Xenopus tropicalis: one gene and its partner. The protein of the gene in region 1 binds, or shares a complex with, the protein of each later gene. Links are inferred from orthologs where the notes say so. Each region holds a gene or a part of one and is shown on either strand. Other genes may lie near its edges.

What was found.
Region 2: the proteins of btk (region 1) and birc2 are in contact, whole or in part, in a crystal structure (PDB 6W7O), measured with the Homo sapiens proteins. The link is inferred for Xenopus tropicalis from reciprocal best matches to the Homo sapiens genes BTK and BIRC2. Residues at the interface, in NP_000052.1 of Homo sapiens: Leu483, Asn484, Arg487, Glu488, Tyr551, Ser557, Lys558, Arg562, Lys595, Met596, Tyr598, Glu599, Arg600, Phe601, Thr602, Glu605; in NP_001157.1 of Homo sapiens: Pro280, Ser281, Ser282, Asn301, Asp302, Asp303, Arg314, Cys315, Glu317, Ser318.

The regions. Positions count from the first base shown.
Region 1 is NC_030684.2:37,635,691-37,640,068, forward strand, and holds the start of btk (tyrosine-protein kinase BTK), read left to right. Parts: upstream 1-1,348; 5' UTR 1,349-1,473; intron 1,474-2,237; exon of another isoform or gene 2,238-2,365; intron 2,366-2,463; 5' UTR 2,464-2,660; coding exon 2,661-2,807; intron 2,808-4,378. UniProt on the Homo sapiens protein: Non-receptor tyrosine kinase indispensable for B lymphocyte development, differentiation and signaling. Binding of antigen to the B-cell antigen receptor (BCR) triggers signaling that ultimately leads to B-cell activation.
Region 2 is NC_030678.2:162,215,882-162,220,164, forward strand, and holds the start of birc2 (baculoviral IAP repeat-containing protein 2), read right to left. Parts: upstream 3,068-4,283; 5' UTR 3,044-3,067; intron 2,715-3,043; exon of another isoform or gene 2,610-2,714; intron 1-2,609. UniProt on the Homo sapiens protein: Multi-functional protein which regulates not only caspases and apoptosis, but also modulates inflammatory signaling and immunity, mitogenic kinase signaling, and cell proliferation, as well as cell invasion and metastasis.

The DNA of each region.
Region 1 (4,378 bases):
ATACCACTTTTAAGAAAGCCTTAAGAAAGCATTGTGTTAATAAATGTGGTTCATCAGGAGCCCTTGATTTTGTCAAGGTGAACTTTTCCTTTAAATGTTGAAATTTGGTTGTAAACCTTTACAAATACCTGATTTAAATCTTTTGCATCATCCTACTCTGCTTTTTTTAGGTGGTCAAGTCCCTCCCAACTTTAGATTTCTTGTATCCTACAGTGAGTCCTGCTTATTCTAGCAAAAGTGTTAATTGACTCCTTGACTTTCCATCATTGATAAAGGCTTTCCCTTTTAATACTCTCACATTAACAATTATCTGCTTCTTCTTTTTACAATTTGTGCAAAAAAAAAATAGTTTATTATAAAAAGGTTTGGGCTTATGTATCGGCCACTCCCACCATTGACATATGCACAAGCAGTTATCAGTCGTTGCTATGTGCAGCAGCAGTCTATATCCTCTTGGTGATCCACTCAATGGCTCTTACCCAGGGGTGCAAGGTTAGAGGAAGGCCAGAGGAGCCCAACCAGGGAGGGTAGTAGGGGAGATCACGTGGTCATCTTATCATTATCTACAAAGGGATGCAGTATGTGGCAATGGGTTTAGAATTTCTAAACACTAAACAAATGGAAGCCAGCTGGGCTGGGGGTTTGAACTGTAGGTTGTGTAAATTCCAATTGATAACATAGTTACGAATATTTACTAGAACTCTTTAGAAACATAGGTTTTAAGGGTATTAGAGGTTTTCCTTATATTGTTTTTCTTCATTGGTCTTCCCGCTTCCAATGAAAAGCTTGATTCCTTTGAACCATTCGACTGCCAACAAGGTCAGTGCTATGTCTTTAGCAAGTAAAGTGTCATCCTGCCAAAGATTTAGTACATACCTTTCCGGATTTATGGTTATGCACAATGCACAATTAATCGGGCAAAAAAAAGGCTTAAATACTGGTCCCAGGGCAGGACTATTCATGTAGGTACCACAATTTCCTTCTTTTGTTTTAAAAATGGAAATTGGAGTTGGGTGTTTTTCTAGTAAGATAAAGACTATGTTGTTAATGTAATTGAAGCTAATTTCTACTGACCGATACAGTAATTAAGAGTAGTAAGAAGTGAATGTTGTGATTAGGGCATATGTACTGTGCCACACAGTATTTATTTGTCATCATGTTGTAATCATAATTAGCACAAACTAAGCCAGCTCCTGACACAGGAAACTAAAAAGAGGAACTGGGAGTCTTGTGAAAAAGTAAGAAAAGCATGCAGAGCTTCTCATTCTGCAGGGTCTGCCCTCCTTCTGCAAAGCATCTTAACATTGTCTGGCAGATGATCTGTATTCAGAGACCTACCCACTCTCATCTCACCACCCAGCACTTCTTCCTCCTAGCCAGAGAGTTATTCTGCGCAGTCCTTGCCTCTACCACACTGTTTGCTTTAGTCTTACTGAACTGAGTTTCCAAACCAGAACGTCCAGCATTTTTCATGTGAGTACTTGGTTTTACTATTAAACATTCAGATACTGAGTTAAATTCTACAGAATTAACTGAGGCAGCATTTATGAGGAAAAAGAAAAAGTTTTGGAGAACATGTTAAAAAAAGACCTTTAGAGACCTGCTCTATGTATGAGAGTGAAATAGTGATATCAAAGCAGTTATCACTGCTTGATATCTCCTAGGCAAGGCAGTCCCCTCAGTATGGGAACCACTGCCTCAGATTGAATGGGAGTGATAAAGACATGAAAGGTCTGCAAAGTTGAGCTGTGTTAGTGGAATTTTTTCAGTCTTGATCTTATGGCACATGTGGCATATTCTTGACTAGCATTGAATGGTTTCCATTAAGACGAATCACACCACACAACCACATTTGGGCACTTCACCAGCTGCGAATATGCCACGTGATCCAAGAGCCATTCAGTGTACAAGTGTACAGTGTAATAGCTGCTGAGTCAGATAAAAAATGCCAAGAAACAGCAACTAAAAGGCAGAGTAGATGCTAATTAGGGGATAAGCTATGGATTGAGCTATGCCATGATAGAGCACTCGTGTTCTATAGGCCATGCTTAAAAATAATATGCCCAAGGATATAAGCTATTTTTTGCTGACTAATGGAGATATTACATATCGTTTATTTCTTTTTTTTGCCCCCTACTGTTTCTCTTTTTTTGCATATGAAGCAGAAAATGATAGAACTAGAAAGAAAATATACTGGCAGTATTTAACATTTGTGTGCATTTTTATTTGGAACATAGAAAGAAAACTTAGTTGGTGTGCTTCAGTAGAGAACATATGAGAAAGGATTTCTAGGCATACACTGAGCAGAATTAATGTATGATGTGGGAAGGAAAACATACTGGATGATATATGTGTAAAGCCTGGGGTGAGTGTGTAAAGAAAATATTATCAAATATTTGGGAGAAATTAGAGAACAATAACAGAATCTAAAAATGATTTCCACTTTGTCTACTCTTTTTCCAGTTTGCTCACAGACCACCTCCATCACTTTCACTGGTGAGAACATGGCTTCCAATGTTACAGCATGTGGGAAGGAGACTTATAAAAGTTATTCAAGTGTGGAAAACTAGATTTGATTCTGGCCAGGCAGAACCCCCACTCTGGTGTGCTGATACGGCTAGACCTTATAGCTCTAATCATATATAAGAAGAATACAAGATATGGCTGCCACTGCCAGTATATTAGAGAGTATTTTTTTGAAAAGATCCCAGCAGAAGCGAAAAACATCACCTCTTAACTTTAAGAAGAGACTATTTGTGCTAACAGACACCAAAATCATCTATTATGAGTATGACTTTGACAGAGGGGTGAGTATGCCAATAAGACTGGTAGAGATGAAAGAGTTATCAATAATGTATATCCTTCCCATATTAAACTGCCTATACACTGTTATTAGGAATGTAACAGGGTGGCCTCAGTCTTGCTCTGCAGAACACCTATTTATTGTTGATATTAGTAACATTATACTAATTAAATGGAAAGTGTAACCAAATAGTTAAAGGAACAGTAACACCAAAAAATGAAAGTGTTTTCAAGTAATTAAAATATAATGTACTGTTGCCCTGCGCTGGTAAAACTGGTAAGTTTGCAACAGAAACGCTACTATAGTTTATATAAATGAGCTGCTATGTCAACACGGGGGCAGCCATTGAAGCTGGGAAAAAGGAGAAAAGGCACAGGCACATCGCAGATAACAGATAAGCTTTGTAGAATATAATGGGGTTTTATCTGTTATCTGCTAAGTAACCTGTGCCTTTTCTCCTGTAAATGGCTGCCCCCGTGGCTACACAGAAGCTTTACTTATATAAACTATAGTAGTCTTTCTAAGGAAAACACACCAGTTGTACCAGTGCAGGGCAGCATTATATTATATAGTAATTACTTTTATACACTTTCATTTTTTGGTGTTACTGTCCCTTTAAGTCCCCTCCCTTTCTCTCACAGAACAGTAATCCAATGCTATATTAAGGCCAAGATTCTAGATATCTTTATAAAAGGTCATTCAGAAGCCTTTAAGAGCTATGATTAATTAAGAGGGTGACATGGTATTTTATTTATTAAATCTAAATATACTCATAACCTACCAAAAAACTTCCCAGCACTCAAATGTGCATAAAATCTAACAGTGATTCTTAAAAAGTTGATTATAGATTGCCTTGAATCTGTTATTGGTATTCTGTGGTAGAATTCAATAAAGCTGTCCACACAGGACAAGGAGCAGAACATCTGACCTATTTCTGCACAGGACAATCAGCTGGATAATAGTGCAGCAACACGTGGAATGCAAAATTGGACTGATCTTACAGTTTGGCCTATAACACCAGCCAAAAGACCACTCAGCAAAGGTGTTGGAATTAGGGACCTTTGCAGTTCTGGACCAACTCATAACACATTACGGGTCTGTTACGACTGCAAGTACCCAATAAATTGGCCACAGTCAATTGCAGAAAAAATCCCATTTGTTAAAGGTGCTTCCATCAAAAGGGGCTGCTTGCACTTCTGTATAGTTGCTATTGGCACTGCTGCCTACTTCCTGTTCCAAATTAAGTGCAAATTCATCTATTAATGCACTATTAATGCAAAATCCTGAAGCTACTGCCACCTTCGAATGTGGTGATTACTACAGGGCAGTGGCCCCCTGTATAATATCTTCGGAGGGGCCTTGTTTCAACCCAGCCCTTCCTTTACCCACCTGCTGAATCAATTGTGCCCACCTATTCCCTGCCAGCTCAAGCTGGTGTAGATAGGTGCATCTGAGGTGGGGGGATTTCTATCACTATAGATGAAGCAGGCCCTGCAATTCAAACCGCCTTCCCCCCCGCCCATGGGATTTAGACCCCTGTTTCAGTGTTCCCAGTGTGGGCTGCATCAATAAATG
Region 2 (4,283 bases), on another chromosome or scaffold:
ACGTATTCAAAGCGCAATTTGGTTCACTAACAATTGACACGAGCTCAACCCCATGGGAAATAAGACTCTGGGATCCGGGAGGGAAGAAACTCCTCTCCCAACTGTACAAAGTTATACTGAAAGTAACACCCTCCCCATTTGATAAAGCTAAAATGAAATGGAACCAGATACTCCCACAACTAAACGAGGAGCAATGGGAAGAAGCAACGGACCACATATACGATTTTCTCATAGCCACTAGAGATAGAGTTATACAATTCAAATTCTACCACCAAGTATATATCACCCCAACCAGACTTAAAGCTATGGGCAGATCACCAAATGCAGAATGTCCTAAATGTCACAATGTCAACGCAGGATTTATCCATATGGTATGGGACTGCATCCACATAGCTAACTACTGGTCTGGAATCATACAATATCTCAACGAACAACTAATCCTACCTAGAGTCAGGACCCCAGAAGTATGCCTCCTAGGTCTGATAGACGAGCTAGTTCCACAAAATCAACCCAGAAACTTAATGAGGGCAACACTGTTCTACGCAAAAAAATTACTTATCATGAAATGGATGAGTCCTATTGCACCCACAATAGCAGAATGGGTAGCGATGACCCGCAATCTAAAACATAACTACCATCTAACAGAAATGATTGAATCCAGACCGATAGTAAGCTATGGTAAATGTATATGATCCTATAACAGCTGAAACAATAAAACAACAACAATTCTTTGTACTGTACCTTGCTAATTTGACTGCAAAAGTTAACAGCTACATTGTTTGTAGCTAATGTCTGTATATGTTGTATTGTTCTTAAAATGAAAAATAAACACCTTTTAAAAAAAAGACAATTATCAGTAAATGATCAGCATTGTCTGACAAGTAGCTGCTTCTAGTAGCTCTGTGTGTCTTCACCCTTAAAGGAACAGTAACACCAAAAAATAAAAGTGTTTTAAAGTAATGGAAATATAATGTGCTGTGGCCCTGCACTGGTAAAACTGGTGTGTTTGCTTCAGGAACACTACTATAGTTTATATAAATAAGCTGCTGTGTAGCCATGGGGGCAGCATTCAAGCTGGAAAAAAGGCACAGGTTACATAGCAGATAACAGATAAGACACCATTGTATTCTACAGGGTTTATCTGTTAGCTGCTGTATAACCTGTGCCTTTTCTTCTTTTGAATGGCTGCCCCCATGGCTACACACCAGGGTTTATATAAACTCTAGTAATGTTTCTGAAGCAAACATAAAACTTTTACCAGTGCAGGGCAGCAGTACATTATAGTTTAATTTCTTTAAAATATATAAATTTTTTGGTGTTACTGTTCCTTTAAGGTGGCCACACACGTGGCGATCTGACGATCTTTCATGCAACCATCGGTCGCACGAAACATCGCCAGATCCGCCACACACCATTCAGCTCGCCAACATGCCATACACGCACCGAATATCGTACGAAACAAGGTTTCATACGATATTATCGGTGCGTGTATGGCCAGCTTTAGATGTAGACAGTGGTATTTAGAAACAATTTGCAATTAGGCTTCATTTTGTTTTTTTTCAGTGTAGAATTGAGGCAGCCATCTGGGTGCTGAGCAGTAAGTGTTCCAATTTACTTTAGAAACCAGCTAGTGTTTCAGTTTAGCCTAGCAACCAGGCAGTGGTTTGAAAGCCAGACTGGAAGATTAATAGGACAGGGGCTGAATTTAAAAAAGTATAATACAAAGCAACCTTAGAACTTTAGCCTCACAGAGCGTATGTTCTTTGGCTTTCCTGAAATAAGCAGAAAAAGAATGGCAAATAATTAAAAAAAAAAGCTGCTAATAGGTCATTCTATTACAAGTAACCATTTGTATGATCTTATGGTGACAGAAATCCATTAGATGACTGCTTGTGAGGTACCATTCAGGAACATGAGCTGAGCTGGATGTTTAAAGGGGAAATAAGCTATACAATTACATTATAGCATTAATCCATTTGGTATTATCCATACTGTGAGACAACTTCCAATTATTCCTCTTTTATTGGTAGAAAAGGAGATCAATCCCAAGGCTAGATTTTCTTTAGCACCTTCTGCCTTTATTCCCTCATAAGTACCATAGTCTGGTTGCCAACCTAACAAAGCCATAGCAACAAGCATTCTTTTTAAACCAGAGAGCTGTATTACAAAAATATCTATTGGTTAAAAAAAGAAAAAGCACAAAGAGTAGTTAAAATAACTAGACATTCCGTTTAGTCACCCTTGGGGCAGCCACACACAGAGGCAAGGGGGTCGCTACACACAGCCTTCATGTGGAGCAGGGGCCAAGCTGCCACGTATCGCTAGAAGCTACTGTACAAACAATGCCACACGGTTATATCATGCTAACAATTCTTTCATTAGCAGCCTCCATCGTAACTTCGTAACATCGTCCGGTACAGCAAAAGCCATTACAAGCGAAAAAAAGATTGACATCGCTCCCACAACCAATCCGCCAATAGACTCAGGCTGCATTGTTCATAACTGCCTATCACAGAAGGGGGCGGGGAAAACCGCAAGCTGCCTATCACAGAAGGGGCGGGGAACCCGCAAGCTGCCCAATCACAGAAGGGAGCAAGGAAATTACTTACGTAACAACTATTTCAGCAGCGCCCACACCCTGTGCTGATGGGAGGGAGGGCGACGGGCTGGAGACAGAGCTCTCTTACTTTCTGAGGGAGAAACTGTGTCGCACAAACAATTTATAGAAAACCTTGTGAGCGGGGGCGGGGCGTGACGCATGCCAATACGTCCTGTCCATTTAAACCTGTGCCCAAAGAAATTACTTGCACCCGGGTATGCCCGGTTGCGGAGCACAACTGGTATCGCTTCCCTAAAGTAAGCTTACTCCAACAGGGAACGCCGCGACCATTTTCTCTCTATGCCTTTGCGTCCGATTTTTTTTTCTCGTTTTCCTGCCACCGCCGCATTCTTCCGCTTAATCGTCAATAAAAATCCACCGTAGCGATATAAAACGCGGGAATCACAAGCTACACAGAGAAACACAGCCGCAGCGCTCCCTTACCTCGACTGTACCATGGCGCCGGCTAAACTAGATCTGCGCTTGCGCAGTACGTGTAATTGTATATGACGTGGTAATGTTTAATACGAATTAAAAATAGTTTTGACCAATTTATTTAGAATATCCTATGCATGAATTTCTTTATACATTCATGACGATTCGTTTCTCGTATGATAAAGGTTATTCATTGTAATCTATCCGGGGACTTTCCAAGCGTGGGAAGCTGTCATTTGTGGAACTAGTGTCATTCTTTGGCTTTCATTCCAGTCCGGGGAGTTTCCTAACTCATGGCGTGTGCAAGCTGGGATTTACACAGGGGAAAAACTATGTAATTATTTACCAGAATGGCTGATTATTATTATTATTAACATTTATTTATAAAGCGCCAACATATCCCGCAGCGCTGTACAATAAGTGGGTTTCATACATTGGACATACAGAGTAACATATAAAGCAATCAGTAACCGGATACCAGGTCAGGGGAAGAGAGCCTCTCCCCAAAAGAGCTTCACTCTACAAGGAATTACTGCATTTCATACATGTTGGGCCATACAGAAGTAACATTATAAAGCAATCAGTACCGATACAGAGGGGAAAGGGAGCCCTGCCCAAAAGAGCTTACACTCTACAAGGAATTACTGCATTTCATTACATTGGACATACAAGAGTAACATATAAAGCAATCAGTTAACCGATAACAGGAGGGAAGGGAGCCCTGCCCAAAGAGCTTACACTCTACAAGGAATTACTGCATTTCATACATTGACATACAGAGTAACATATAAAGCAATCAGTAACCGATACAAGAGGGGAAGAGAGCCCTGCCCAAAAGAGCTTACACTCTACAAGGAATTACTGCATTTCATACATTGGGCATACAGAGTAACATATAAAGCAATCAATAACCGATACAAGAGGTGAAGAGAGCCCTGCCCAAAAGAGCTTACACTCTACAAGGAATTACTGCATTTCATACATTGGGCATACAGAGTAACATATAAAGCAATCAATAACCGATACAGGAGGGGAAGAGAGCCCTGCCCAAAAGAGCTTACAATTAGTACTCCATTTAAATTTATGAGGGAGAAAAAGAAAGGCTGTACTGCAGGGTAGCCAGATTTTTCCAAACTAGCCAAAGTCAGTTCTAAAACTAGCCCAAAACTAGCCAAAAGCCACTTTGAAAGTAGCCCAAAAATGTATGTATGTATATCTTAATTTATAAAGCGCTACTTATGTACGCAGA